7 linked regions of the Macaca mulatta genome follow. The main gene of each other region encodes a partner of the protein of the gene in region 5 in a complex. Links are inferred from orthologs where the notes say so. Each region holds a gene or a part of one and is shown on either strand. Other genes may lie near its edges.

Region 1 (4,244 bases), on a different chromosome or scaffold from region 5:
GCTGACAGAGCATGATGAAAATGGAAGAAAAGCAATAAAATAAAACAAGATAGAATAGTATAAAAAGATACTTCGAAGTTGCAATTTCTAAGCTAATCTCAAGTGTCATTCTAGGTCATATCTTCATGTCTTGGAAGACAAGAAAAAAAGTGGTACATTAAAATGCAAAGGAATAAATTGGCCAGTCTCTATTTCAAAGCTCTAAAATGACTGATGACAAAACAGAAAACTAGACTTTTTGTTATTCCAGGAAAAAACAATTTCACCAAACCAAGCCTTTAGGAGAAAGTCCCTCAAGATCATGAAAGACACCAACTTCCGTTTAAATTAAGCTGCTATTCCAAAGTTCAATTAACAAAAGAAAGTGTTAACAAGATTCAACATGTAAACAAAGAATGAGGCCAGCCTTCCATAACACAGAATGCTTGAACCTAATATAAAATTCCTCAGAAAGCTCCCAGTTCTTAAAAAAAAAAAACTAAAAAACGAAAATTGTTTTCTCCCCCACCCACAAAGATCCCACATTTGCCACTCAATAAAAACCCCAGTAAAATCATTTCAATTCTGCAAAGCAACCAGTGTCAAAATTACTCAAGACAAATGCATCTTCAGAGCCATCAAAGAAGTCATTTATACCATCAGGAAAGTCACAAAACCAAAACAAACAGCAAACCCATTGTAGAGAAAAAACTCAGCTACTGTTCTGACAACACAGAATTCATTTCAGGCTGCATAAAACATAACAAGCAAAATAAATCCAAGGTACAAGCAAAATGCCATTGCCCCCTCTTTTGTTTCGGGCACAATGTAACAAGGGCAGGCTGTCTGAGGCTTTGCTCCTGCTGATACAGTATTGCTACTTAAACCTCCCTCCTCAAGGTCACAGCCAATTTCAGCTCTGGAATAAAAGGCAGATAGTGGCAGCGATGGTTTGGGTTATCACTGGCAGAAAAGCAGAGTGTAAAAGTTTATGAGCTCATCAGGATTGTTGTACCATTACATCAGAGGCAATTATAAATGGCCAAGAGCAGGAGATGGGGAGCCAATCAGATCACAGATAGGATGTCAACCTAAGACCAACTGTCTCCTGGCTTTGACAGAAGGATTTTACCTCCATAATTCAAATCCCAAACCAAAGCAATCTGCACTTACTACTCCAATCACTCAGCTGTTTACCAGCACTTCCAGAGAGAAGCCCAGGCCACTGGGCCGGCGGAGCCTAAGACAGGAGATGGCAAGGGCTGCCCTAGGTGAACCGCAGCCGGCCTCTAGCAGCTCCCAAGCAGTCCCCTGCCCTCCCTCGAGGTCCCTCCGAGCTCTAGGGGCCCTCTTTGAAAGCACAGATGGGGGGCGGCCCAGAGGAAGGCCGGGGGACGGAGAGGAGCGGCAGGTGAGCAAAGAAACGTTCATTCAACTCCTGGGTTCCTACCACTGCCTACACTCCTAACCTGAGCCCCCAGCACCCCCTCACTCCCGGCCAGGCCCTTCCCCACACACTCTGCCCCGCACCCCCATCAAGACCCCTGGAGTTCGAAGGGACCAAGGGAGAGGAACAAGAGAAGCAGACACCTCTGGGAAAGCCCGACACAAAGGCTGGAGGAGGAAAGGAGAGGAAGGCAGACAGGCAGCCATTTTAAGAGAGAAGAGCCAGACAATGGCAGCTCCCCAGCAGTGGGGGCCCGAGACTGAGGGGAGCCCAAGGCTGTGGCCCGCTGACCGCAGCCGCCACCCACCCCCAGGACCACGCTCGCCCCAGCCCCCTCCCCACTCAGCTGTGTACCTGAGGGGTCCGGGCGAGCGGCTGCCCCCCGCCGCCGCTGCTCCCGGGGCTCATGGGCGCGTGGTGGCTCCTTTGTTGGGCCCCTCCCGAGGCGGCCGCCGCCGCCGCCGCCGCCGCTGCCGCCGCCGCAGCCCCCCAGCACTGCGAGGCCATGTCCGCCGGGCCCTTGCCGGCGCCCCCGTCCTGGGGCCCGCCGCCGTAGTCGCCCCCGGGGTAGCCCTGGTAGCCCCGGGCCGAGCTGGGCGACGTGAGCAGTTGGTTGAGGGTGGGGGTGGCGGTGGGCTGGGGAGTTCCCCCGCCGGCCGCGGAGGGGCCGCCTCCCCCCATGGCCCCGAAGCGCTGCTGAGCGAAGGACGAAGACGACGAAGAGGCGGAGGCGCTGGAGGAGAGAGGCGGCTTGGAGCCGGGAGCCGCCGCCGCGCCGGAGCCCGGAGTGCCACCTCTCGGGGAGCTCAGCGCGTAGGCCGGGGCGGGCGGGGGGTAGGCGCTGCGGTTGGGGTAGTAGGAGTTGTACTGGTGGTTGGGGAAGCCGTGGTCGTGAGAGTTCTGCTGGGGCCCCGCGTAGGGCTCCAGGCCCCCGCCGCCGCCGCTCTGCAGCGCTGCCAGGCCAGGGCTTTGTTGTCCGCCATGTTGTTGGTGGAAGACGGCGGCCGCGGCGGCGGCGACGGCAGACGGGCTCCGGCCGTAGGGTTGCCCGAAGCCGTAGGCTGGGGGCGGCAAGGCGGCCGCGGCAGAGTGAGGAGGCGCCCCCACCCCATCGCTGCTGCCGCCACCGCCGCCGCCGGGCGGCTCCGTGAGGTTATTGTTCAGGGCGGGCCTAGGGCCCGCGTTCCCGTTCGAGTTCTTCAGGTCCGGCTCCGCGCCGGGCCCGCCGCCGCCGCCAGCTCCGCCGCCGCCGCCACCCCCATTGCTCTCGGCCCCGTCTTGCAGCTCCTTTCCCAGCGGCTGCGGCGGCCCCACGGCAGGGCCCTCGCTTTCCTGCCCGGCGGCTGCCTTCATTTCCCCGCGCTCGGCCGCTGCCGCCGCCGCCGCCTCGCCCCCCGCCTCCTCCCGCTGCTGCTGCTCGGCTTTCTTCAGCTCCGAGGGCGGCGGCGGCGGCGGGTTGCCCAGGCTGCTGGCGGCGGCGGGGGCGACCTGCGCGGCCATGATCCCCGCTGTCTCGTCCGCGGAGAGACCCGGCCCTGTCTTCGTCTTCTCCCCCCCTCCCACCCCGCCCCGGGGCCGAGTCCCCCGGGCTGCCCTCCCCACCCGCCCGGGCGGGCCTCGCGGGGCTCCGCTGCTGCGCTGCGCTCGCTCCTCTCCCCCCCGCCCCGCCGGCTCAGGCTCCGGGCTGGCGGCGGCGGAGGAGGAGGAGGCGGCGGCGGCCGAGGCGCCGGCGGCTCAGCTGCTCCCGGCTCTGTAGGCTCGGGACCCGGCTCTCCCGGCTCATTCCCCCCAAGCCCTTGCCTGGGAATGAGGGGGGCGGTGGAGGCTCCGCTCCCCAGGGCCTGGCCCCGCTGTGACTCTCCGCTTTCTGCTGCCGGAGAAAGGAGGAGGGAGGGAGGGAGGGAGGCGAGGGGGAGGGGGCGGGGAGGGAGGGAGGGAGCGGGGGGAGGGGGACCCGGGACGGGCGGGCTGGAGGGCGCGCGGCAGCAGCCCGGGCGCCGGGAGCCAGAGTCAGAGCGCGGGCCGGGCCGGGCGCCCTGCCTTCCCTCGCCAGCCGCGGCTTGGGTCGAGGCTGCGGCGCGGCAGCGGGCGGGCGAGAAAGCGGTCGGCCGGACTGAGCGGCTAGAGCGCCCCACTCTCCTCCGAGTCCCCCTCACTCCGACACGAGGCTCAGCACTGCCATTTTACCCAGCGCCGTCGCGGCCGCCTTGCAAACCCGGAGTGGAGAGCGGAGCGGGCGCAGGCCGTGGAACGGACTCGCTCCCTACCCCTCACAAAGGAGGAGGGGAGAGAACAAGCCGCGGCGGCGGCAGGCCCTTAGCCGCTTTCGCTAGGCAGCGCCGCCGCCGAAGGCTTCGGAGAAAACCCGGCCCGGAGCCCGCGCATCTCTGGAGCCTGCGCCGCCTCCCTCCCGGCGTCCCTATCCAGGTCTGTCCCCTCCCGGCCGTACCGAGGGGAGCGGGCAGCGTGAACTTTACCCGCGACTGCAAAATTGGCCAGAGCCCGAGACCGCGGCCGCCTCGGCCCAGCCCTGACCCCCTGGCAGCGGGCCCGGTCCGTTGGCTGCTGTTTAGCACCTCTACAGCACTTTTCGTCTTCAAAGCCTTCTACAGACCCCGCTAAAGACCCAGCCTTTTTACCCTCTTTGCGAGCCCAAAGGAATGACTGGTCATTGTTCAGATGATTCGTTTCCCACTCGCCTGCCCTCATTAGCCGGTCCTCACAAGGCTCTGGGGGCATGAGGTCCGGATTATCCCCATTTTACAGAATTGAAAGAGGGGAGGGAACTGCCTGTCACTTAAAGTCAGAGGGCAGAGGA
Region 2 (4,409 bases), on a different chromosome or scaffold from region 5:
CATTGTAGAACTTTGGGGGATGCTCGCTCCAACCGACTGCTGTCACCTTCACCGTTCCAGTTTTTAAATCCTGAGTCAAGCCAAAAAAAAACCAAAACAAAACAAAAAAAACAAATAAAGCCATGCCAATCTCATCTTGTTTTCTGCGCAAGTTAGGTTTTGTCAAGAAAGGGTGTAACGCAACTAAGTCACAGTCCGCCTAGAAGCATTTGCGGTGGACGATGGAAGGGCCAGACTCGTCATACTCCTGCTTGCTGATCCACATCTGCTGGAAGGTGGACAGCGAGGCCAGGATGGAGCCGCCGATCCACACAGAGTACTTGCGCTCAGGAGGAGCAATGATCTGAGGAGGGAAGGAAACAAACAGGCAGTGAGAACCCCGGATGTGACAGCTCCCCACACACCACAGGGCCCCATGGCCCACCTGCCCAGGTCAGCTCAGGGTGGAAGGACACCCACCTTGATCTTCATCGTGCTGGGCGCCAGGGCAGTAATCTCCTTCTGCATCCTGTCAGCAATGCCAGGGTACATGGTGGTGCCACCAGACAGCACTGTGTTGGCGTACAGGTCTTTACGGATGTCCACGTCACACTTCATGATGGAGTTGAAGGTAGTTTCGTGGATGCCACAGGACTCCATGCCTGAGGAAGAAATGAGGGCGGACTTAGCTTCCACAGCACAGCCCGAAGGGTGACCCTCAGGTCAGGCAGGGCCGGGAGGCGGGTCTCCACTCACCCAGGAAGGAAGGTTGGAAGAGAGCCTCAGGGCAGCGGAACCGCTCGTTGCCAATGGTGATGACCTGGCCATCGGGCAGCTCGTAGCTCTTCTCCAGGGAGGAGCTGGAAGCCGCCGTGGCCATCTCCTGCTCGAAGTCTAGGGCGACATAGCACAGCTTCTCCTTAATGTCACGCACGATTTCCCGCTCGGCCGTGGTGGTGAAGCTGTAGCCGCGCTCAGTGAGGATCTTCATGAGGTAGTCAGTCAGGTCCCGGCCAGCCAGGTCCAGACGCAGGATGGCATGGGGGAGGGCATACCCCTCGTAGATGGGCACAGTGTGGGTGACCCCGTCACCGGAGTCCATCACGATGCCAGTGGTACGGCCAGAGGCGTACAGGGACAGCACAGCCTGGATGGCCACGTACATGGCTGGGGTGTTGAAGGTCTCAAACATGATCTGTAAGGAAGAAATGCACCATGTCACACTCAGGAAGCTACTGGGACAGCCAGGCCAGATGGGGGACATGCAGGAAGTGCAAAGAACACTGCTAAGTGTGCTGGGGTCTTGGGATGGGGATTCTGTTCAGACCTACTGTGCACCTACTGAATACACACTCCAAGGCCGCTTTACACCAGCCTCATGGGCTTGTCACACGAGCCAATGTTAGTACCTATACCCACAGCACTGTCTGTTTTAGACACCTAGTCAGAGAGGCAAACACCAGAAAAAGAGCTCATCTGGGAAAAAGCAAATAGAACCTGCAGAGTTCCAAAGGAGACTCAGGTCAGAGAAGAGAGTCCTACGAAGAACGGCAGAAGAGAGAACCAGTGAGAAAGGGCGCAGCTCCGGGAGACCAGGAAAGAGGGCGGTGGCCACCACAAGAGGTAGCGGGCCACTTACCTGGGTCATCTTCTCGCGGTTGGCCTTGGGGTTCAGGGGGGCCTCGGTCAGCAGCACGGGGTGCTCCTCAGGAGCCACACGCAGCTCATTGTAGAAGGTGTGGTGCCAGATCTTCTCCATGTCGTCCCAGTTGGTGACGATGCCGTGCTCGATGGGGTACTTCAGGGTGAGAATGCCTCTCTTGCTCTGGGCCTCGTCGCCCACATACGAATCCTTCTGACCCATGCCCACCATCACGCCCTAGGAAAGAAAAAACAAGGCGCCCTAAGCACGGGCGCGGCCCCCACCCCAGAAACCGGGAGACCCCCGTGCAGAGAAAGCGCCCTCGCCTCCCGCCCGCTCCCGGGCCCGCCCCACCCACCCAGCTCCCCTACCTGGTGCCTGGGGCGCCCCACGATGGAGGGGAAGACGGCCCGGGGGGCATCGTCGCCCGCGAAGCCGGCCTTGCACATGCCGGAGCCGTTGTCGACAACGAGCGCGGCGATATCATCATCCATGGCGAGCTGCGGGAAAGCCGGGCGCTCTGTGAGCCGAGGTGGCCCCCGCCCTGCCCACTTCCGGCGCGCCGAGGCCTTAGGCCGCCAGGGGGCGCAGGCGCGCGCCCAGATTGGGGACAAAGGAAGCCGGGCCGGCCGCGTTATTACCATAAAAGGCAAACACTGGTCGGAGGCGTCCCCACCGCGCGCGGCAGGAAGCCAGGCCCCCACCCCCTCCCAACCGGGAGCCGGCCCCGCCTCCGCTCCGTTCAAATAGCGCCGGGTCGGCGCGCGCGCGCGCGGCGGCCACACCCTCAGGCGGCCGGCGGCGCGGGCAGGAAGTGCGCGCAAGCGCCCTGGAGCCTCCGCGACCCCACCCCTTCCGGCGGGGCCAGCCCTTGCCCCAGCCCAGGCCGCGGCACCCGGGCCCCAGAACGCACGCGCAATTAGCGCCTGGAGTCCCAGCGCGCACGCGCAACTAGCGCCGATTCCCAGCGCGCACGCAGAGTTAGCGCCCCAAGCCCCAGGACGCACGCGCAATGGCGCCCCAGCCCCCCACCGAGCCTGGCGGGGGGGCTCCGCCGCGCCCACCCTGCAGTTCCCACTGGCAAGAAGCCGGCTCGGACAAAGACCCCGCCGGCTGCCCCCATCCCGAGAGCAGCACCCCCAGAGCGCGCCTCCCGAGCAGGGCCCCGCGCCGCCAAACTGAAGCGGGGTGTCCCCACATCTCTGGAGGCCCAGGGGCTTCTCCCGCGTCCCCCACTGCAGTCCAGTCCCCACATGCGACCCCCGCTGCGGCGCAGGCGGCTCTACACAGGCGAAGGGGCCGCGGCCTTAGGCAGCCGAGCCGGGAGCCGCCTACCAGGGTCGGCTGGCCGGGCTTACCTGGCGGCGGGTGTGAACAGGCGGCGGAGCGGCAAAGGCGAGGCTCTGTGCTCGCGGGGCGGACGCGGTCTCGGCGGTGGAGGCGCGTCGCGCCGCCGGGTTTTATAGGGCGCCGCTGCGGCCGCTCGAGCCATAAAAGGCAACTTTCGGAACGGCGCGCGCTGATTGGCCCCGCGCCGCTCACTCACCGGCCTCGCCGCACAGTGCAGCATTTTTTTACCCCCTCTCCCCTCCTTTTGCGAAAAAAAAAAAAAGAGCGAGAGCGAGATTGAGGAAGAGGAGGAGGGAGAGTTTTGGCGTTGGCCGCCTTGGGGTGCTGGGCCCGGGGGTTGGGGGCGCGCGCGGTGGCCCCCGCACCCCACGCTGGGCAGTGCCCGGTTCGGCCCCGCATGGCCAGGCCTGTCCCCGGCCTGCCCGTCTCTCGGGCCCCCCACCCACCGCGGGACATTCTAGGTGTGGACATCTCTTGGGCACTGAGCGCCCAGGTCGGGTGGGCCAGGGTCTGCACGGGTGCCAGGGTCCTGGGTGCTGTGCGCTCCTGCAGAAGGAGCCCTTGAAGGGCATGGAGTGGCCAGGCAGTCACTCCCCCTTGCCGACTTCAGAGCAACTGCCCTGAAAGCAGGTCTCGGGACCTCTGGCTATGGGGCTCAGCTAGCTAAATGGGCTGGGTGGGTCACTAGGGAGAGACTTGGGCTTGAGAGGTAGAGTGTGGTGTTGGGGGAGTCAGGGGCCTCGCGGCCACTTAGAAGTCGCAGGACCACACTGCCCAGGACAGGGCAGGCGCCAGCGGTCCAGTGGCTTGAGGTGGCCTGTGATGAAAGCTGCAAACCCACCCAGCCACGGCCCTGGGAAGGTGGGCTCTACGGGGCAGGGAAAGTTTCCCCAGGAGCTGCTGCTTCTGAGGGTAACGCGGTCACGCCCAGCCAAGACCAGGCCTGGGGCGTTAGTGGGTGACCCAGGCAGCTCCAGGCACTGCGGGGTGTGGGGGCTGGGTCTACACAGCCTGGGTCTGCGCCCACCGTTCATTGCATGTCTGCTATGCGCAGCCACAGCTGAACTGCCCTCCCAGACCATCTGGAGGCCGCGGGGGGACTCTGGGGACCAAGACTCCATGTGCCAGAGAGGATTGGGGGCGGGGCGGGGTAGGAGCTCAAAGCCAGCCTGGGAAGACCCTCTCCTTGTCACCCTTTCTTGCCTCGGGTCTGTCCACTCAGTAGCACACAAGACCCGGGTGGCTAGGGTCGTTCTGCTCTGGGAATCAGAGACTGTATGTACCCAGCTGGTGGACATGCAGTGATCAGTGGCGTGGGACCACAGAGGGGCATTCAGCTCAACCTAGAGGAACATGCCCTTCTCCTCCTCCCCCTCCTTGGAGGTGGTGACAAGAAGCTGGATTTTTACACAAAAATAGGAAGGGTGGTGAGGTGGGG
Region 3 (3,097 bases), on a different chromosome or scaffold from region 5:
CTCACTGCAACCTCCGTCTCCTGGGTTCAAGTGATTCTCCTGTCTCAGCCTCCTGAGTAGCTGGGACTACAGGTGCCCGCCACCACGCCCAGCTAATTTTTGTATTTTTAGTAGAGACGGGGTTTCACCATATTAGTCAGACTGGTCTTGAACTCCTGACCTCAGGTGATCCACCCGCTTCGGCCTCCCAAAGTGCTGGTATCACAGGTGTGAGCCACCGCGCCCAGCCCTAATGAAATCTTGAAGGACAAAGTAGGTGTTAATGAAAGGGCAAAAAGGGTAGTGGTGCTGGGGGTATAGGAGGCAGAAGACATTCCAGAAAGAGGGAATAGGGCGTGTAAAGATCCAGAGAGGAGAGAGAGAGCCTGGTGTCTTAAAGAAGTACCAGCCATTTAGTGTGCTAGATACAGCATAGAGTGCCAGGGATGGGATGTTTTGGGAAGGAAAGCTAGATAGGGAGCCAGATGCCTAATCATGAAGAACCTTTGATTCAGGGAAGATTGGTTTATGTTTCATCCTGAAGACTTGTGTTGAGAGATCATTACCAGTGGAGGGACTGATGCTATTTGTATGTAGAATCATCATTGCAGGAAGGTGGAGAATAATTTGTCAGAGGGCAGGGCTGGAGGCAGGAAGCCCAGTTAGGAGGCTGGTGCAGTAATCCATGTGAGACATGTTGAGGCCCTACATTTACAGTCCCGACAGTCAGGGTGGAGATAAGTAGATAGATTTGAGAGGTGTCAAAGTGCAATTGAAGGAATTTGGCCACTGTTGGGATTAGAGTGAGGGGTGAATGAGAAGGAAATGTTATGATGCCTCCCAGGTCTCTAGCTTGGGTGGATAGTAGTATTTACTATGACTGGGAAGAGGGGAGGAGGAGGAGCAGGTATTGGAGAAAGGGTAGTGAATTTAATTTTAGAGATGTCAAGTTTAAGCAGTCGGTTTGGTTGGAGTATAGAAAATAGACTCTGGGCTGCAGACTGGGGACTCATTATACTGTCAGTGGTAGTGGAAGACATACAAGTCAAAGAAATTGCTGGGAGGAGTATGTAGAATGAGAAAAGAGTTGAGAACAAAACCCAGAGATGAGAGCTTATGAGACAGCCCCATATGCCAGTCCTTTTCTTCCTGAGAACACTTTTGGACCCATTTGGGCTGTGGAGTAAGTATTCATCATGTAGCTTTGCCCATAGTGGGCACTGAGGAGACCAAAAGGAAAACTTTCCTCACACGGGGTGTACAGAGAGACACAAACAAGGGCAAATTACCTGCTGAAAGAATGCCAAGGGTCGGAGCAGTTGGAACTTTATATGATGGTACCAGCTGTGGGCAGCACTGTGACTAGGTTGGGAGTGGCATGTGGAGTTGTCAGGCACCACCTGCCATTTAACTTCTCATTTTTCTAGTTTGAAAATGGTATGGGCTTCGTTCTTCCTTTCAGATCCATGAGACAATAGAAACCATCAACCAGCTGAAGACTCAGCGGGAGTTCATGCTGAGCTTTGCCAGAGACCCTCAGGGTTTCATCAATGACTGGCTTCAGTCCCAGTGCAGGGACCTCAAGGTAAAGAACCTAGGAGAGGTCTGAAGGGACTTAGGTCAGTGAGGCACACACCTGCTTTATTTATGTAGCAGCTGGTAGAAGACCCAGAGGAAGGAGTAAGGGGCCAGATTTTTCTTTAGCATGTTCCAGGGTCCATTTTGCAATTAAGCAGGGAAATGGGGGCAGACCCATCACGTGTTGATTTAGTACTTACTTTGTCTGTCACTGTGCTTCATCTTGTCAGGGATACAGAGTGGAAGACCTGATCTCTGCTTTCAAAGCAGCCTACGTTCTGTCTGAAGAAACTAGGCTAGTATAGCCGGGCACTGTGGCTCACACCTGTAATCCCAGCACTTTGGGAGGCTGAAGCCGACAGAACGCTTGAAGTCAGGAGTTTGAGACGAGCCTGGCCAACATGGTGAAACCCTGTCTCCACTAAAAATACAAAAATTTAGCCGGGCGTGGTGGTGTGCACCTGTAATCCCAGCTACTTGGGAGGCTGAGGCAGGAGAATCACTTGAACCCAGGAAGCAGATGTTGCAGTGAGCCAAGATCGTGCCACTGCACTCCAGCCTGGGTGACAGAGCGAGACTCCGTCTCAAAAAAAAAAGAGAAACTAGGCTAGTGTGATACAAAGTAGTAAACCATGTAAGACATTATCAGGCCAGGCGTGGTGGCTTACGCCTGTAATCCCAGTACTTTGGGAGGCTGAGGAGGGCAGATCACCTGAGGTCAGGAGTTTGAGACTAGCCTGGCCAACACAGTGAAACCCCATCTCTACTAAAATACAAAAATCAGCCAGACATGGTGGCAGGTGCCTGTAATCCCAGTTACCCAGGAGGCTGAGGCAGGAGAATCGCTTGAACCCGGGAGACGGAGGCTGCAGTGAGCCGAGATCGCGCCACTGCACTCCAGCATGGCTGACAGAGTAAGACTCCATCTCAAAAAAAAAAAACAGACATTATCAGACTGACCAGGATCAATAAGGTAATTCAGAGAAGGGAGATCAGTGAAACTAGAATCTCTGGGGAAGGCTTCATGGAAAATTTGGGATTTGAAGACATTTCTCAGAAAGGGGAGCACAGTAAGCTCAGTCTAGTAGATAGGAATGGGCACAGAGTATGAACCCATCAGTTCTCACCCCTCCTGTGCTGACTGTGACTAGTTAGGCTGAGCAGAGGAGCAAGGGAAAAGGGATGCCAGGAAAGATCCCTGAACAAGGCAATGACTTGTTGATTGCAGAGGTGACTGGGTGTTGTATCAGTTTGCTGAGGCTGCTGTAGCAAACTACCACAAACTACCACAAACTGGGCAGTTTTAAACAACAGGTTTGTCTCACAGTTGTGGAGGCTGGAAGTCCAAAATTAGCGTGGGCAGTGCTGCTTCCTTCCGTGAGCTGGGAGGGAGACTCTGTTCTGTGCATCGCTCAGCTCCTGGTACCGCAGGTGTTCCTTGGCTTGTAGGTGGTGGTCTCTGTGTGACTTAACGTCATCTTCCTTCTGTACGTGTCTGTCTCCGTGTCCAAATTTCCCCTCTTTATAAGGGAACCTACCA
Region 4 (3,738 bases), on a different chromosome or scaffold from region 5:
AGGTGAACTGGCAGGCCAGGAAGAGGAGGAAGCCCTGGAGGGGCTGGAGGTGATGGATGTTTTCCTCCGGTTCTCAGGGCTCCACCTCTTTCGGGCCGTAGAGCCAGGGCTGGTGCAGAAGTTCTCCCTGCGGGACTGCAGCCCACGGCTCTGTGAGGAACTCTACCACCGCTGCCGCCTCAGCAACCTGGAGGGGCTGGGGGGCCGTGCCCAGCTGGCCATGGCTCTCTTTGAGCAGGAGCAGGCCAACAGCACTTAGCCTGCCTCGGGGCCCTAACCTCCTTACCTTTCCTTTGTCTGCCTCAGCCCCAGGAAGGGCAAGGCAAGATGGTGGACAGATAGAGAATTGTCACTGTATTTTTAAAATATGAAAATGTTATTAAACGTGTCTTCTGCCAAACTGTTTTTTAGGTCTAGGGAAAATTGAGTGAGGAGAATCCAAGGGAAGGGTATGGGGAGTTTGTCCAAAAGGACCCACTGTCTCCTCACCCTCTTCCCTCCCCCTTCCCTCCCCCTTCATCCCCCACCCTCCCCAGTTTCCAATGACCACGCGGCTGCTGTCAGATGAATGACTTTTAATCTAGCCCCGCACCCCAAGGTGGCAGAGGAGTGATGCTGGAGCCCAGGGCAAAGCACTGGGGCCCGGGGCACGGCCGGAAGTTCCCTCGTGCTGCTTATTTCTGGGCTCCTAGGTGTTGCGCACAACCAGCGACTGCTCCAGCTCCTGCCTGCGCTGCTGGATCTTTAGAGGAAGTGAGAACAGGAGCAGGTGTCAGTGTTCCTGGTGAGTGATCAGGACAACCCCCCCCTACTGACACCGCCTGCCATGGAAGAGCATCTGGGAGCAGGGAGGGCCATTGCATGGTGAGGCGGTATGGTGAAGCTTTACTGTAGGGAGCTGTGAGGGCTGCCCACAAGCTGAACAGGGAGGTTTCTCTTGGAGTTGAGGAGGGGGAAGCCTTAGGGCAAGGGTCCCTCCATACCTTGCAGTAGAAGTAGCGACTGACAGCCTCCTGGGACCAGGGCTGGTGGTAGAACTCAGCCCGGCGCTCCTCTTCGGGGTTGCCGGCTACATCTGTCATCACCTGGGAGGGAGCGTGGGGTGAGCCCTGAGCCCCGAATCCCCTCACCTGCCCCTGGAGTACAACGTTTACTGTCTTTCCCGATGTGCTTGTCTTCCACTCCAGTACTCCCTGAGTCTCCCTCTTCACCTTGAGGTCCCGGCTCTGGGAGCGGAGCAGGTCTTGGACATAGCCTTTGGGGTCTCTGGAGAAGCTTAGCATGAAGTCCCTCTGGATCTTGAGCTGGTTTATGGACTCAATCGTCTCATGGATCTGCAGGTAGAAAGATAGATGCTTTCCACCTGGCTGTGGTGATGTGGGAGAGGAGGGAAAAGGAAGTGGGAGGGAAGGGGAGACCTGTGAAGGACAACCCCTCAGAGCCCCTGATTCCTCTGAAGTCCCAGGGGCGGAGGGGATGGGCAGAACTAAACTTGGAATGAGGTTCAACTCCAAGCAGCATGGAAGGGCCATTTGTGCCCCATTGGCCCACAGTCTGGTCTCTCTTTTTTTTTTTTTTTTTTTTAATTTTTTAATTTAACCCAGACTGCTCATCTGCAGCCACACCCTGGTCTCAGAAAAGTCTCCTCTATCATCTCTGGGTTAATATCCCACTCCGGCTCTGGGCTTGGGCCCCACCTTACTGTCCAGAGCACTGATCTCCTGCTGGTTGGCCGTGGACAGGAGGAAGCTGCTCATCTGTCCCTTTAATGGCTCCTCTACTTCCACGTCAATGTCATAGCACGCCGTCTTCTTCTGGTCTGAAGGGTCCACGCTGCCAGGGAAGTCCAGCCCTTGGTGTCCACGATGCCCCCATACAGGCCCCAGGGCGCAGGGGCTGGGGCAGATCCAACAGGGAGGGAGAAGAGATGGGAGTGGGAGGAGAGGGAGGGGCAGGGAAGGCAGGAACGAGATCATTCCCTGGTCTGAGAAGCAAGCTGGGGCCACCTCACCTGATGACATGGTTGATGACAATTGGGTCAGGGGGCAATAGCAGGGCTGTGAGGCGCTGGGGAATCTCAGAAAACTTCAGCCGGGGACAATCAAAAATCTGAAGCAGGACAATTGGGGAGAGAGAGATCACTCTTCTTGAAGAGATCATCACGCAGTTGTAGATCCTTTTGTTCTAGAAAGGCTGCAAGAAGCTGAGAGGAAGTCTGATTCCTTAGTGCGCATGGGGATGGGATTGGGGTGGGCTGGTCTGGCAGTGGAGCCACCCATACGGCTGACAAGGTAGGGGGTGGGTCATTGTGGGGCAGGGGTTGAGAGTGCAGGCCCTGAGTCAGCCTGTGTATGTATCACTCCTGCCTCTGCCGCTTACTATGCAGCCTGGAGCAAGTTAACACCTCAGGGCTCATCTCTAGAGTGGGGATGGAAAGAATACCCATCTCCTAGGGCTGCCGTGGGAAGGCAGTGAACTAATACACATAAGGTGCTTGGAGCAGTGCCTGGCACATGGTAAGTGCCCAATAAATATCAACTGCTGTTTTAACTCCTCAGGTTTATCTGCTGTATTTATTTTTAAATGCATTAATAAGAATATTCTCTGTTTTGGTGGAATTTTGCTGAATCCCTTTGCAGCAATTTGATTTTCCTAACTGCCCAGGAGAGTAGATAGGACAGGTATTTTCACTCCACTTCAAAGATAAGGAAACAAGGTTCAGAATCGCTGAGTCACTTACCCAGAGTCCAGACTCAGGACTAGAACCTGGGGATCCTAACTCCAAGTGCCAAGAATATTACATTCCAGAAAGCGGTTGGCTTTGTAGGGTTTCCAGGTCTTCCTAACTTGGGGGGGGCTAACATGGATTGACTGCAGCACAGAGCTAATCCACAGTAGGGCCTGAACTAGAATCCTGGTCGGTCTCTTGGCTCCAAGACCATGACTGTGTATTGCTTCTGCTACTCAGGAATCTAGAAGGGAGGGGTGGTAGTTACCTTGGTAGAGGTACTTCCCCTGCTGGAGAACTCTGCCTGCTCCCCAGATCCCAGGGTTCAGGAGAGAGGTTACCTGCTGGAAATACTTGTCCCCATTGATGTATTCCTTGTCATGGGAGTCCTGCAGCCTGTTGGTCTTCACATACTGCCACAGGGCCTGGACGATGGCTGAGCGGCTCTGTGTGTGCAACCCCAGCAGCCGGGCTAGGCGGGGATCCAGTTTGAACTGGGGAGGCTGAGAAAAGGGGACCGTGAAAGTTAGAACAAAGGGAGAGAAAGGAAGGAGCCCAGGGCCAGGCCATTCAGGACTATGGGGATGTGTTGATTGAGGAAACATGCCCCTGGGGAAGGATAGGGTTGGGAGGGGAAGGAGGTCTCTCGAGATGCACCACTTTGGGACCTAGGCCTGCCCTGAGAGCCTTGTGTGGCGTGTATGGGGCAGCGTGGCAGGTGCAGACCTGGTAGTCCAGCATGAGGAGCAGCGTGCAGCGCACACTCAGATCCCCAGGCCGTTTCACCTGGAAGCCGTCCGTCTCCTGGGTCGTGGGTGTCCGATGCCACTGTCCAGGAGAGAAGAGCTGTGTCTCCCAAAGGCCCATCTGGAGTGGTGGGGCCCAGGACTCTAGGGCGGTCCCTGACCCAAATCTGTGCTCGTTCTTCAGGGATTCTGGCCTGTGGGAAGGTGGCAATTCAAGGGCGGAGGGGCTCTTGGTCTTACCTCAACAAGGTGGTTGTCAGGACC
Region 5 (3,738 bases):
GTGATCCTCCCACCTCAGCTTCCTGAGTAGCTGAAACTACAGGTGTGCACCAACATGCCTGGCTCATTCTGGTATTTTTTGTAGAGAGGGGGTCTCCCCATGTTTTTCCCAGGCTGGTCTTGAACTACTGGGTTCTGGCGATCCACCTCAGCTCCCCGAAGTGCTGGGACTGCAGGTGTAAGCCACTGTGCTGGGCCCTGACCTCGCTTTTAACTCTAAGTCCTACCTCCTGCCAGAAACAGGAGGGCCTCTCCCAGGTCCATCCCCATCCCTAGCACAGAGGACACTGGACTGGAATATTCTGTTCACACCTCCACCACCTTCTCAGCCAGCCCAAATGCTGCAGGCAGGGATCAAGGTGACCTGTCTCTATCTTCCAGGGCAGCCAGGATGGGTTCCAGCCCAGCATGGTACTCATCAAATGCTCTCTGACTGACCAAAGGCAGAGTTACTACAGTAAGAAGGAACTGCCAGGGACCCCTGACTCTTGAAAGCTGGGCGGGCCTTTGTGTTTCAGACAGAATTCAAGTTCAACAGATGAAGAACCCTGGGCAGGGGCCACCCTGACCAAAATAACAGTCTGGGCAAGAGCAGAGAGAGAAGGTGTGGGGCAGGATGACTGAATGGTGGATGGCGGGGGGCAGGCCCAGGGCTCCGTGGAGGTAAGGACTTGAGGTTCGCCCTGACGGAACTCAAGTCTTTGCCAGCTATTGCGTTAAGTGCTTCTAACCCTACCTGGTACAGCGGAGTCCCGGTGAGACACACAGGGCAGGAGGGGGACACAGCAAACACACAGACCCCAGCCAGATGGTGCTGCGAAGCTTGAGAAAGCCTCAAAGGTATCACCACTCACACAGAGAAGTCTTTTTCTCAAAACAGTTTTGCAGGGAGATGAGGGAGGGAGAGACTCGTGCGCGATCCTACCTGAAGGCGTAGGTCTTCTGATGCCAGCTCAGCTGTCCCCGGATGCTGTATGCGATGGTGGTGACAAACTCCCCGCCCAACCCCAGCTCTGAGCACAGCTTCAGGGCAAACTTCTCTGGCGAGTTCTCCTTCTCTGACATGTCCCACTCAAACTGGTCCACCAGGGAAATGTTTCCCACATGGATGTTCAGCTGTGACGACAACCAAAGGACATGAGTTAGAGCCTTTGGGACTGCCCCCAGCCCAGGGAGGCCGCGAGGAGCGGGGGCCTGCCAGGCCTGCGGCGCACCCTGCCCACCAGGGTCCACCGGCTGAGAACTGCAGGTGGCCCTTGTCCTTCCAGTTTCCCATCCCCAAAACAAGGCTGACCCCACAACCCTCCTGTCTGCCATGAGGGGCTCTGGCTCAGGGCCCAGCACAGTCACCCTCAAGAGGCCCTGAAGTGACCCCGGGGGCACCTGAGTCCCATCTTACCTTCATCCCATCCCCGCTGTACCCTGTGCTGGTGGAGACCTTCCTTTCTGCCCTTCGCTCCTGCTGCCATCGGTCTTATGTGACTACATCGGCCAGGCAGGCCTCAGCTAAGGCATCCCTAAGTCCTGTCTTAAGCCAATGTCTATGCCTTTACAGAGCTTGCCCCTCTCAGAAAACCCTGCCTAGCACATTCACAGATGCACCGCACTCTAGGCTAACACAGCGAGGCGACAGGGAAGCCTGTGGGGAGCACAGTGCTGGGCCAGCTCCTCCCACACTCCCCAGAGGACTCCCTGCAGCGCATGACTCACAGCCAGAGGGCCCAGGCCCTGGGTGTGCTGTCAGGGGGTTTTAACCAGTGGACACCTGGGAAGCCAGCACCCAGCCGGAGAAAACACAGACTGTACCCCAGGAGCTCCCACCTATGCCCGCCCCGCCTGGGGAAGCACCATTTTGACTTCTCACTCCTTGAGTAGGTATGGCTCTTCTGAATAAGATGGACCCTTCGGGGTCCAGTTTCATTCACTCTGCGTCATGCTTGCAAGACTCCTCCCACTAGAGTGTGGGGCTGGGGTCATCCCTCATTGCTGTCCAGTGCTCCATGGGGCAAGCAGGCCACAGGGCACCTGCCCATTCACCTTAGATTTTTTTTTTTTTGGCGGAGTCTTGCTCCGTCGCCCAGGCTGGAGTGCAGTGGCGCGATCTCGGCTCACTGCAAGCTCTGCCTCCCGGGTTCATGCCATTCTCCTGCCTCAGCCTCCCGAGTAGCTGGGAATACAGGTGCCTGCCAACACGCCCAGCTAATTTTTTTGTATTTTTAGTAGAGACGGGGTTTCACCGTGTTAGCCAGGATGGTCTCGATCTTCTGACCTCGTGATCTGCCCGTCTCGGCCTCCCAAAGTGCTGGGATTACAGGCGTGAGCCACCGCGCCCCGCCTGTCCTTAGGTTTTAAGTCAAGGATCAGGGTGGGCAGTTGCAGGAAGAACTCACCACTGCCTTGGAGCCCAGCCCTTCCGGGGACTTCTGCCCCCTTTTAGAGATGAGGGCACCCCAACCCCCAATCATGTTCATAAAGCCCTGTGCCTCAGAGCCCTGCACACCACCACCCACTTGCTAGCATGGTCTTCCCCTCACCTGGCAGGGCCAGCCTCTTCTTAGCATCCTGGTCTAAGCTAAAGTGCCAGCTCCTGAGAGCTCCCCTTCCCATCAGCCCCTTTCCACACCCTTCTCTCCATTTTCTCCCCCTTGGGAGACAGGATGTCACTCTGTCACTCAGGTTGGAGTGCACTAACATGATCATGACTCACTACAGCTTTGAACTGCTGGGCTCAAGGGACCCTCCTGCCTCAGCCTCCTGAGAAGCTGGGACTACGGACAGGCACTACCATGTCTGGCTAATTTGTTTTGTAGAGCCAAGGTCTCTACAAGGCCCAGGCAATATATCAAGTGTTTTGAGCAGAGAAGAGACCCTACGGTTGAGCCCTCTGCTCCCCCAGGCTTCCCTGCTGCCTCTCTGTGTTGGCCCAGGCTGGCCTCAAAAGATCCTCCCCCAACAGTCTCCTGAGTAGCTGGGACTATACATGCAGGCCACCATGCTGGCACCTCTCCTATTTTCTTCACAGCACTTAGGACTGTCTGAAACAATCTGAATCATTTGCCTCCAGGAATCCTAGCATAGGCAGGGTGTATTTGTTCTGGGAATGAAGGAATCCGCACGCAGAGGGAGGAAGCCAAGGGGCAGAGCTGCACCATCCTGTACATGGCATGCAGCCAGGCAATGGGGGCTGCAGTCAGGCCCCCATGTCCTTTGCTATCTCCACATATGCCTATGCCTGATGATGACCGGAACAGGAGGTACTAGCCCTTCCCAACTGGAATCTAATGCCAAGCAAACCATGTGGGTGCTGGGTCCGAAAAGAGCATGCAGCAGCAGACAGCCCAGGGAACCACCCAACAGGACTCCCTAGGACCGTGGGCACATGGCTCCCACCCAGCAAGCCCTCCCTGCCCTGGGCTCATGGATGGAGCTGCCTGTCCCCTGCCATTCAGTCACTAACACATTCATTTATTCCAAAGTCTAGACTGTGTGTCTACCAAGGAGAGGCACAAGAGAGACAAACATTCCAAAGGCTGCTCTGAGAAAGGTGAGGTGGTGCATGTCTGTCGTCTCAGTTACTCGGGAGGCTGAGGTGGGAAGATCACTGGAGCTCAGGTGTTCGAGTCCAGCCTGGACAGCACAATGAGACTCTGTGTCAAAAACAAACAAACAAACAACAACAACCAAAAAAGCCATGCTGGTGGGGGCACTGACAGACACAAAGTAGGTGAAGTGAGCATGT
Region 6 (3,738 bases), on a different chromosome or scaffold from region 5:
GCAAATATATATCACAGATAAAAATTAGAAGGAAATTTAAGTTTAATGTAAATCTAAATTTGCTTCTTTTAAAACATTTAATGTCTTCAGCAAGCTCTCTAGAAACCTGAGATTAAAAAAAAAAAAAAGAAGCCCTCTGAGGTACTTAAAATGGTGATCAAATTTATATCAGTCTACCTCAGGTCAATACCTTGGAGCTATTTTATTTAAAGCAGTCATGCATTGAAGCCAAACCTTAAAAGAAAAATGCAGTTACTATTTCCAATTAGAAACATTTATGTTTTTATAAAACACATTCTGTGAAAGGCTGTATTTTTTTTTTTTTTTTTTTTTTGAGACGGAGTCTCGCTCTGTCGCCCAGGCTGGAGTGCAGTGGCCGGATCTCAGCTCACTGCAAGCTCCGCCTCCCGGGTTCACGCCATTCTCCTGCCTCAGCCTCCCGAGTAGCTGGGACTACAGGCACCCGCCACCTCGCCCGGCTAGTTTTTTGTAGTTTTTTTAGTAGAGACGGGGTTTCACCGTGTTAGCCAGGATGGTCTCGATCTCCCGACCTCGTGATCCGCCCGTCTCGGCCTCCCAAAGTGCTGGGATTACAGGCTTGAGCCACCGCGCCCGGCCGAAAGGCTGTATTTTAAGTTTATGCTTTTCAAGAGACCTTCAATTTTGTCTTCCTCCTCACTGGCCTTAATCTAGATGACTTAGTGGTGTGCCTTCTCTCCCCCATAGAATATACTCGATCTTAAGAAGTTCTGGCTAATTAGAATTCAGAATAGCATGCTACCAACTACAATCACGTACGTAAGTGGAAATAGTACATCAAAGCAATATTCTTTCATCTGTTTTGTATTAAATAGCACACATCCTCAAAATGAAAATGGCTTTGAAAACATACCGATTCATCCTTCTTGCCCGTTCCAATACTTCAAACATATGCTCTTGAAATAAATCAAGCCGCCGGTAGCGATTATTTTCAACATTCTTCCTAATGATGTCAAATGTAAGGGGTGGTTTGTTAGGAAAGTTGGGATCCACAGCAGGAATTTCCGCTAAAGAATCACTGTAGCATCTTCCCTCATCATCCTGATGACTCATGACTGACACAAAAAGATTGTGGATAAGCTCTTGAATCAGCAAAGTCACATTTGGGACATGAGAGTCCTCATCTCCCTCCAGGTCTCTGCGCGTTTCAAGCAGGACTTTGTGTAGTACAAGAGCATCTTTGTAGATCAAAGACTCAGGCTCATTGTATGTACATGCATTATTAAACATCATGACAAAGTCCTCAACCATAGAGTCAATATCTTGGTACTTGTTGGCCATCATGTGACTTCGAATTTTTTCCATATCCATGGGCTTTTTAATAGTCAGATAGTAGTCAGGCAACTCAGATCTAGAGGGAAGCCTCAGAAATATGGCACTGAGGCGGCGACCTCTCTTATCAGTATAGTTCTTTACAGCTTCATAGACCTCATTTAGTTTCTGCTGCATTGGAGTCATGTATTTTGATTTTTTAGGAGAAATGCCACTCTTCCTACCTAAAGAAAGAGACTTAAAGTTAAATGAATAAAATAAATGAACCTAAATTTGTATACAGATGGTAGCATAACCACAAGCTACGATTCCAAATAATTTGTAAAACCCAGCAATTAGCATGTCTATAGTGAAATATAACCTGCAGACAAAAAAGAACTAAAAAAAAAATTTTAACTGTTTTTAGTAATCATATTTTTGATGGGAGACTAAGTACTGTAAGGTTGAGAAAGCTGTGAATAAGGAATAAAGCAAATGAGCAGCTATGTGACATTCTATCACCTCTGGTATCACTGAGAACTGAGATTTTCATCATGGGATAAAAAGAGATAACGGATGTTAAAACACAGGACATTAATAATTACCTTGAGGCCTTTAATCTCAATTGAAAGTATCACTATGAACTTACGATGTATTTTATCTTTAAATATAAGCATACGAACAAACACATACAAATTTCCTAGCTCTGTCCACTGAAAATCGTACAAACAATGACTACATCAGTAGCAGTATACCCCACACTAGAGTTTTAAAATATTAATTCCAAATACAAATGTTGATGAACCCTCACCTTTTAGCAGAAACATGAAAAAGGTAGGGCTCCTTGGCAAATGACTGATTCCCAGTCTGGTATATCTTCAAACACTAGACAGTAAAGAATCTATCAATGACTTCTTACCATGACTTCATGTCAACAGAATATAGGAACCATCTGGGCGTGGTGGCTCATGCCTGCAACCCCAACGCTTTGGGAGGCCAAGGTGGGTGGATCACCTGAGGTCAGGAGTTCAAGATCAGCCTGGCCAATATGGCGAAACCCCATCTCTATTAAAAATACAAAAAATTAGCCGGGTGTGGTGGTGGTGCCTGTAATCCAAGTTACTTGGGAGGCGAGGCAGGAGAATTGCTTGAACCCAGGAGGCAGAGGTTGCAGTGAGCTGAAATCAAGCCATTGCACTCCAGCCTGGGCGACAGAGCGAGATTCTGTCTCAAAAAAAACAAAACAAAAAGAATATAGGAATCAGCCTGAACCAGCCTGAGTATCAATAACGGCAATAACTTCAATCACAACTCAGCCACATGTTTAAGTCTGGTAGTTCTTAATAATATGTATAAACAAACAACAAAATGGGTAAATATTGAAGGATGTTAGTAAACCAATGCATATTTTGAAAACTGGTAAAGGGGAAAACAAAATAAAACAAAAATCAAGCCTTTATCCTTTCAAAAAGCAAGACACACACATGAAAAACACTGTACCACTGGCTAATCAAATATCAGATAAGGCAAAGTTTCTCTAGAGCTAGTAAGGAATAAAATTAAAAACGATCACAATTTTACATCCCTTTCATGAATTAATAATTAATGAAGTATGCAACACCACCAGTTAACAGAAAGACATAGATTTCACATGTACCTGATGGAAGATGATATATTACCTATGAAGTCGGTTTTTCTGCCAAAGGGAGAGGATAGGGGATCAGACCTCAATCTGATCAAACCTCTGGCTCCAACTACCAATTTACAGGAAGTGCAAAGGACAGAGGAACACATGAAAGTACAACAGAGTGGGCCAGGAGCGGTGGCTCATGCCTGTAATACCAGCACTGTGGAAGGCCAAGGTGGGCAGATCACTTGAGTCCAGGAGTTCAAGACCAGCCTGGCAACATAGCAAAACCCTGTCTCTACTAAAAATACAAAAAAAATGAGCTGGAAGTGGTGGCGTGTACCTGTAGTCCCAGCTACCTGAGAGGCTAAAGTGGGAGGATTGCTTCAGTCGGGAGGTGGAGGTGGCAATGAGCCAAGAATGTGCCACTACACTCCAGCTTGGGTGACAGAGTGAGACCCTGTCGCCAAAAAACAAAACGAAACAAAACACAACACACACAAAAACCCCCACAACATATGGATGCAATCAGCAAAATCCAGACTATGGGAAACTATAGCACAAATCTAATTTCTTCAACAGATAAATAGTAAGGGGTGGAAAAAGAGAGAGATGGAGGGGAGTTTACAGATTAAAAGAAGTATTGGGCTGGGCACGGTGGCTCACACCTGTAATTCCAGCACTTTGGGAGGCCGAGGTGGGCGGATCACGAGGTCAGGAGTTCGAGACCAGCCTGGCCAATATGGTGAAACAGGACTGAGTCACCTCCCTGGCCACTGTACTTTACATTTATATATGTTTGAAATTTTTCATTAAAAAAC
Region 7 (3,738 bases), on a different chromosome or scaffold from region 5:
AAGGAACAAGAAGGGGTTGCAAGACCCCAAGTCTAGAAGTTTCCAGTGAGGCTTGCCATAAACAACAACTTCTCCACAGCCCTTTATTCCTCGGGTGAGAATTTCAGGATGAAGAGCCTAAGCTGGAGGGGGCGGGGGCTGTGCGAAGATTTCTTGGAACACAATAGATAAAAAACACCACACTACACACAATGATGGGTGAGTGGTCAGGAAATGGCTTCCCTTAAAATGGGAACCAATGAGAGGGCCTCGGTGCTAGGGCAAAAGTGAAAGGGGTTCCACAGGGCTAGGGCCGGCAGTGTTCTTCCGAAGTGCAACTTCCTTCCGGTAGAAACAAGGAGGTGCTGGCTGAAGTTCCGCACATATCGGGGGCGGTCAGGAGATGCCTCGCCCTCTTGGTTCCATGTGTCCGTGCCCCTCTGGGACTATTTCTTTTCCTTACAGTTGGTCTGTCTGGATATGTAGGAAGAGGGCGCGTTCTGGTTTGAGCTGGGCTCTGCTTTAGCCTCTCCAGCAGCAAGTCACATTCTGTGACCTAGGGCCCTAGGCCTGGCAGCCGAAGGCTGAGGCTTTCTCTTTGAGCAGTTCCCAGCATAAGTGGCAGCTCCAACTTCCTGCAAGAAATGAGATGGCTTTAGTAGCAGCCCCTCTGCTAACTCTGGAGCCCCACCCCAGTGCCCCTAACTTCTTGTAAACCCTGTTTCCTTTGAACTTCGGCAATGCAGAAACCAAGTCCCAGGCCTGAAAACGTGCCGGAGTCTGTGGCTCAGCAGAAAGCAGGTGCTCAGAGGAGATGGGCTCAACTCTTATCAAGACCCTCACTCCCTGGTCATGCCTCCAAACTAGTGTCGCCGGGCCCTGCGCTAGTTCCCCTGGAAGCTCACACCTCCCCAGCATCTCCACTGCATGTCTGGGAAAAACCTCCTCGGCCCTCAAGTTGAAATTTAAGCTGCTTGGACTGTGCCTCAGTTTCCTCATCTGTAAAATGGCAGTCGTCGTACCTACATTGTGGGGTTGTGACGATTAAATGAGACAAGACATGGACATGTAAAGCCCTTAGCACAGGCCTGTACTATGGTGAGAGCTCAGTAAGTGCTAGTAGTAGTAGTATCTGCTGCTGTTGTTACTGTTGACCTCATCATCATTACCTTCTGGGGGCTCAGCCACCGGGGGATTTAAACAGTACATGTGATAGCCACGGTCACAGTCATCGCAGAAGAGTAGCTGGTCCTGGTGGAACACAGAGCAAGCACAGAGGAGGAGAGATTCCGTTATTTGGGGCCAATGTGTGGCCCCTACTTACCCATCAGCCTTATTTCCACATCGGCCTCACTGGATCCCCTTTCCAGGTCCCACATGGAGTCCTCACTGTTCCGTGAACATGCCTGTGCTTTTCCCACACCTAGAGTTTCCCCCTCTACCTCCCAGCCTATATAAATCCTACACCTATTTTAGGGTTCTGCTTAACTCATACCTCCTCCAAGAAGCCTTCTGTGACTACCACCTCACATCCAAATTTAAAAGGATTCCTTATTCTTCTGAACTTCCAGAGCCAATAGCTCTGCTTCCAAAGGGCAGAAAATGTCTCTATTGTCCATGACTTTATATATTTGAAGATCTTAATTGAATTCTTCTGGATTCCACTCCCTCCATCTGTGAAATGGGCAACAGCTGTACTGGGATGAACCTCAGAACCTCTTCAGGGTTTCATTAGAATGTAGAAAAATGCAAGTAGTGCCATCCCTTGGCTTCCAGAAGCTTCCTCACTGTCTGGAGGCTGGAGCCCAGGTGAGAACAGGTCCCCCCAGGATTGTGGTTAACTTCAAAGGACACAGGCCATATCTTTGCACCAATGGCTACTTCTGCCTAGAGGCTCTCCCAGACCCCTGACCCTTTCTCTGCATGTCCATTCCCTGCCTGCCCTTCAAGTACATCTTCTTCAAGCACTTCTTTTCCACAAAGACTTTGCTAATCTACCTCAACTGGAAGTTCTGTCTTCCCTCCTGCAGAGCCCGGTGGTACTTTCCCTTTCTGTGACATTTAAATGCATTTTCCTTTATGTTACATGCCTGGCATGTGGTAGACATCTAATCACGCTTGTTTTCTTGGTCGGGCACTGTGGCTCATGCCTGTAATCCCAGCACTTAGGGAGGCCAAGGTGGGTGGTTCACTTGAGGTCAGAAGTTCAAGACCAGCCTGGCCAACATGGTGAAACCCCATCTCTACTAAAAATACAAAAATCAGCTGGGCATGGTGGCGTGCATCTGTAATCCCAGCTACTCAGGAGGCTGAGGCAGGAGAATCTCTTGAACCCAGGAGGTAGAAGTTGCAGTGAGCCAAGACTGCACCACTGCACTCCAGCCTAGGCAACTGAGTGAGACTCTGTCTCAAAAAAAAAAAAAAAAAAAAACATCTACATGTTTGTTTTCTTGACTAATTAATTTGGAACATGCCTCTTTTTTCCACCCTTTATTCTCTTTATGGACTATAAGGCCCTTGGGGGAAAATCTTGTTTTCTTCATCACTGCATCCACTGTAGTGACTTCCTTGCATACAGGAGCTACTCAGAAACTGTTTGTGATCTGGCCCCACCCCCTAGTTTCAGCCCTGTTCTATTTGGTGATTTTTGAAAGTGTTTGGATGGCTTATAAGACTTTTTCAACATAAAGTTTTGTATCAAATCTCACCTTGGCTCCCACCAGTGCAGAAATCCTGGATAAAATTAGATATAGCAGTCGGAATCCCCAGGGAGCCAGCAAGGAGGGCTTTTTTTGTCATGCTAAAATCCATCAGTGGGGCAACAGGAGAGCTTTTGAAGAGTTATCAACTGGGCAGTGATATGATCAGATTGCAGTTTAGAAAGATCTTACTAGCTGCTATGTAAGCGTAGATACCCAGTGGGAGAGAGGTTCATTCAAGAGGCCAGGGGACCAGTTAGGAAGCTGCTATAGCTATCCAGATGCGTGATGATTGTGGCCTGAATTACGACTGTGGCATGGAGAAAGAAATGGGTCTTGCTCCCATTTAAGCATCATTGATTAGATGGGGAGAGTGATAGGGAAGAAGCCAAGGATGCCCTCTGGGTTGTGGCTTGGTCAGCAAGCCTGATGATACAGTCACCCATTGGGACATGGGAGGAAGAGCAGACTCATGGGAGGGAGAGGGCAACCTCAGCTATAGACATGTTCTACAGATAGGGATGACCTGGAGGCTGTTGAAGAGAGCAGGAGAGAAGTCTGGGTGTGAGATATGGATTTGGGAGTCATTGTAACTAGATGGCAAATGAAGGTCCTAGGAGAGGAAGCCTGGAATGTGTGAAAGCAAATGTCTTTGAACTTGTCTTCATGGAGGAGTGTCCATGAACCCCTTGAAATGATACATACAATTTTGTACATAGGTAGAAAGTACATGTTTCTATGGAAAGAGTAAATTCATAGCTTTCATTGAATTATCTGAAAGATCAAGGACCCAAAAGAGATTAAGATCAAGGACCCAAAAGAATTTACTGAGAAGAAGGTCAAGAATAGACACTTGGGGTACTCCAACTTTACAGGGTAGGCAGAGAAAAAAAGACTGAGAAGGAACAGTCAGAGAGGTAGGATGAAGACGAGCACACTGTAGTTTACGCCAAAAAAGTTACATCATTATTGTAGAACCAGAATAAGCTACAGGACAATTTGATTTAGGGATAATAGGATAATACAAGGAGAGACAAGTTAGGATGGGGACAGAAAACAG

Evidence for each region.
Region 1: SMARCB1 (region 5) and ARID1A share a complex: the UniProt entries of both Homo sapiens proteins name them as parts of the neuron-specific chromatin remodeling complex. The link is inferred for Macaca mulatta from reciprocal best matches to the Homo sapiens genes SMARCB1 and ARID1A.
Region 2: SMARCB1 (region 5) and ACTB share a complex: the UniProt entries of both Homo sapiens proteins name them as parts of the BAF complex. The link is inferred for Macaca mulatta from reciprocal best matches to the Homo sapiens genes SMARCB1 and ACTB.
Region 3: SMARCB1 (region 5) and SMARCD1 share a complex: the UniProt entries of both Homo sapiens proteins name them as parts of the BAF complex. The link is inferred for Macaca mulatta from reciprocal best matches to the Homo sapiens genes SMARCB1 and SMARCD1.
Region 4: SMARCB1 (region 5) and SMARCD3 share a complex: the UniProt entries of both Homo sapiens proteins name them as parts of the BAF complex. The link is inferred for Macaca mulatta from reciprocal best matches to the Homo sapiens genes SMARCB1 and SMARCD3.
Region 6: SMARCB1 (region 5) and PBRM1 share a complex: the UniProt entries of both Homo sapiens proteins name them as parts of the SWI/SNF-B (PBAF) chromatin remodeling complex. The link is inferred for Macaca mulatta from reciprocal best matches to the Homo sapiens genes SMARCB1 and PBRM1.
Region 7: SMARCB1 (region 5) and DPF3 share a complex: the UniProt entries of both Homo sapiens proteins name them as parts of the BAF complex. The link is inferred for Macaca mulatta from reciprocal best matches to the Homo sapiens genes SMARCB1 and DPF3.

What each region holds. Positions count from the first base shown.
Region 1 is NC_133406.1:214,286,615-214,290,858, forward strand, and holds the start of ARID1A (AT-rich interactive domain-containing protein 1A), read right to left. Parts: upstream 2,979-4,244; 5' UTR 2,927-2,978; coding exon 1,781-2,926; intron 1-1,780. UniProt on the Homo sapiens protein: Involved in transcriptional activation and repression of select genes by chromatin remodeling (alteration of DNA-nucleosome topology).
Region 2 is NC_133408.1:43,744,546-43,748,954, forward strand, and holds the start of ACTB (actin, cytoplasmic 1), read right to left. Parts: upstream 2,998-4,409; 5' UTR 2,980-2,997; intron 2,122-2,979; 5' UTR 2,116-2,121; coding exon 1,993-2,115; intron 1,859-1,992; coding exon 1,619-1,858; intron 1,175-1,618; coding exon 736-1,174; intron 642-735; coding exon 460-641; intron 344-459; coding exon 200-343; 3' UTR 1-199. UniProt on the Homo sapiens protein: Actin is a highly conserved protein that polymerizes to produce filaments that form cross-linked networks in the cytoplasm of cells.
Region 3 is NC_133416.1:57,268,867-57,271,963, forward strand, and holds part of SMARCD1 (SWI/SNF-related matrix-associated actin-dependent regulator of chromatin subfamily D member 1), read left to right. Parts: intron 1-1,441; coding exon 1,442-1,564; intron 1,565-3,097. UniProt on the Homo sapiens protein: Involved in transcriptional activation and repression of select genes by chromatin remodeling (alteration of DNA-nucleosome topology).
Region 4 is NC_133408.1:190,671,484-190,675,221, forward strand, and holds the end of SMARCD3 (SWI/SNF-related matrix-associated actin-dependent regulator of chromatin subfamily D member 3), read right to left. Parts: coding exon 3,715-3,738; intron 3,557-3,714; coding exon 3,455-3,556; intron 3,232-3,454; coding exon 3,070-3,231; intron 2,110-3,069; coding exon 2,012-2,109; intron 1,897-2,011; coding exon of another isoform or gene 1,834-1,896; coding exon 1,698-1,833; intron 1,335-1,697; coding exon 1,212-1,334; intron 1,086-1,211; coding exon 984-1,085; intron 743-983; coding exon 689-742; 3' UTR 584-688; downstream 1-583. UniProt on the Homo sapiens protein: Involved in transcriptional activation and repression of select genes by chromatin remodeling (alteration of DNA-nucleosome topology).
Region 5 is NC_133415.1:27,997,651-28,001,388, reverse strand, and holds part of SMARCB1 (SWI/SNF-related matrix-associated actin-dependent regulator of chromatin subfamily B member 1), read right to left. Parts: intron 1,116-3,738; coding exon 925-1,115; exon of another isoform or gene 878-924; intron 1-877.
Region 6 is NC_133407.1:116,168,844-116,172,581, forward strand, and holds part of PBRM1 (protein polybromo-1), read right to left. Parts: intron 1,536-3,738; coding exon 893-1,535; intron 1-892. UniProt on the Homo sapiens protein: Involved in transcriptional activation and repression of select genes by chromatin remodeling (alteration of DNA-nucleosome topology). Required for the stability of the SWI/SNF chromatin remodeling complex SWI/SNF-B (PBAF).
Region 7 is NC_133412.1:145,763,819-145,767,556, forward strand, and holds the end of DPF3 (zinc finger protein DPF3), read right to left. Parts: intron 1,231-3,738; coding exon 1,149-1,230; intron 615-1,148; coding exon 544-614; 3' UTR 70-543; downstream 1-69. UniProt on the Homo sapiens protein: Belongs to the neuron-specific chromatin remodeling complex (nBAF complex).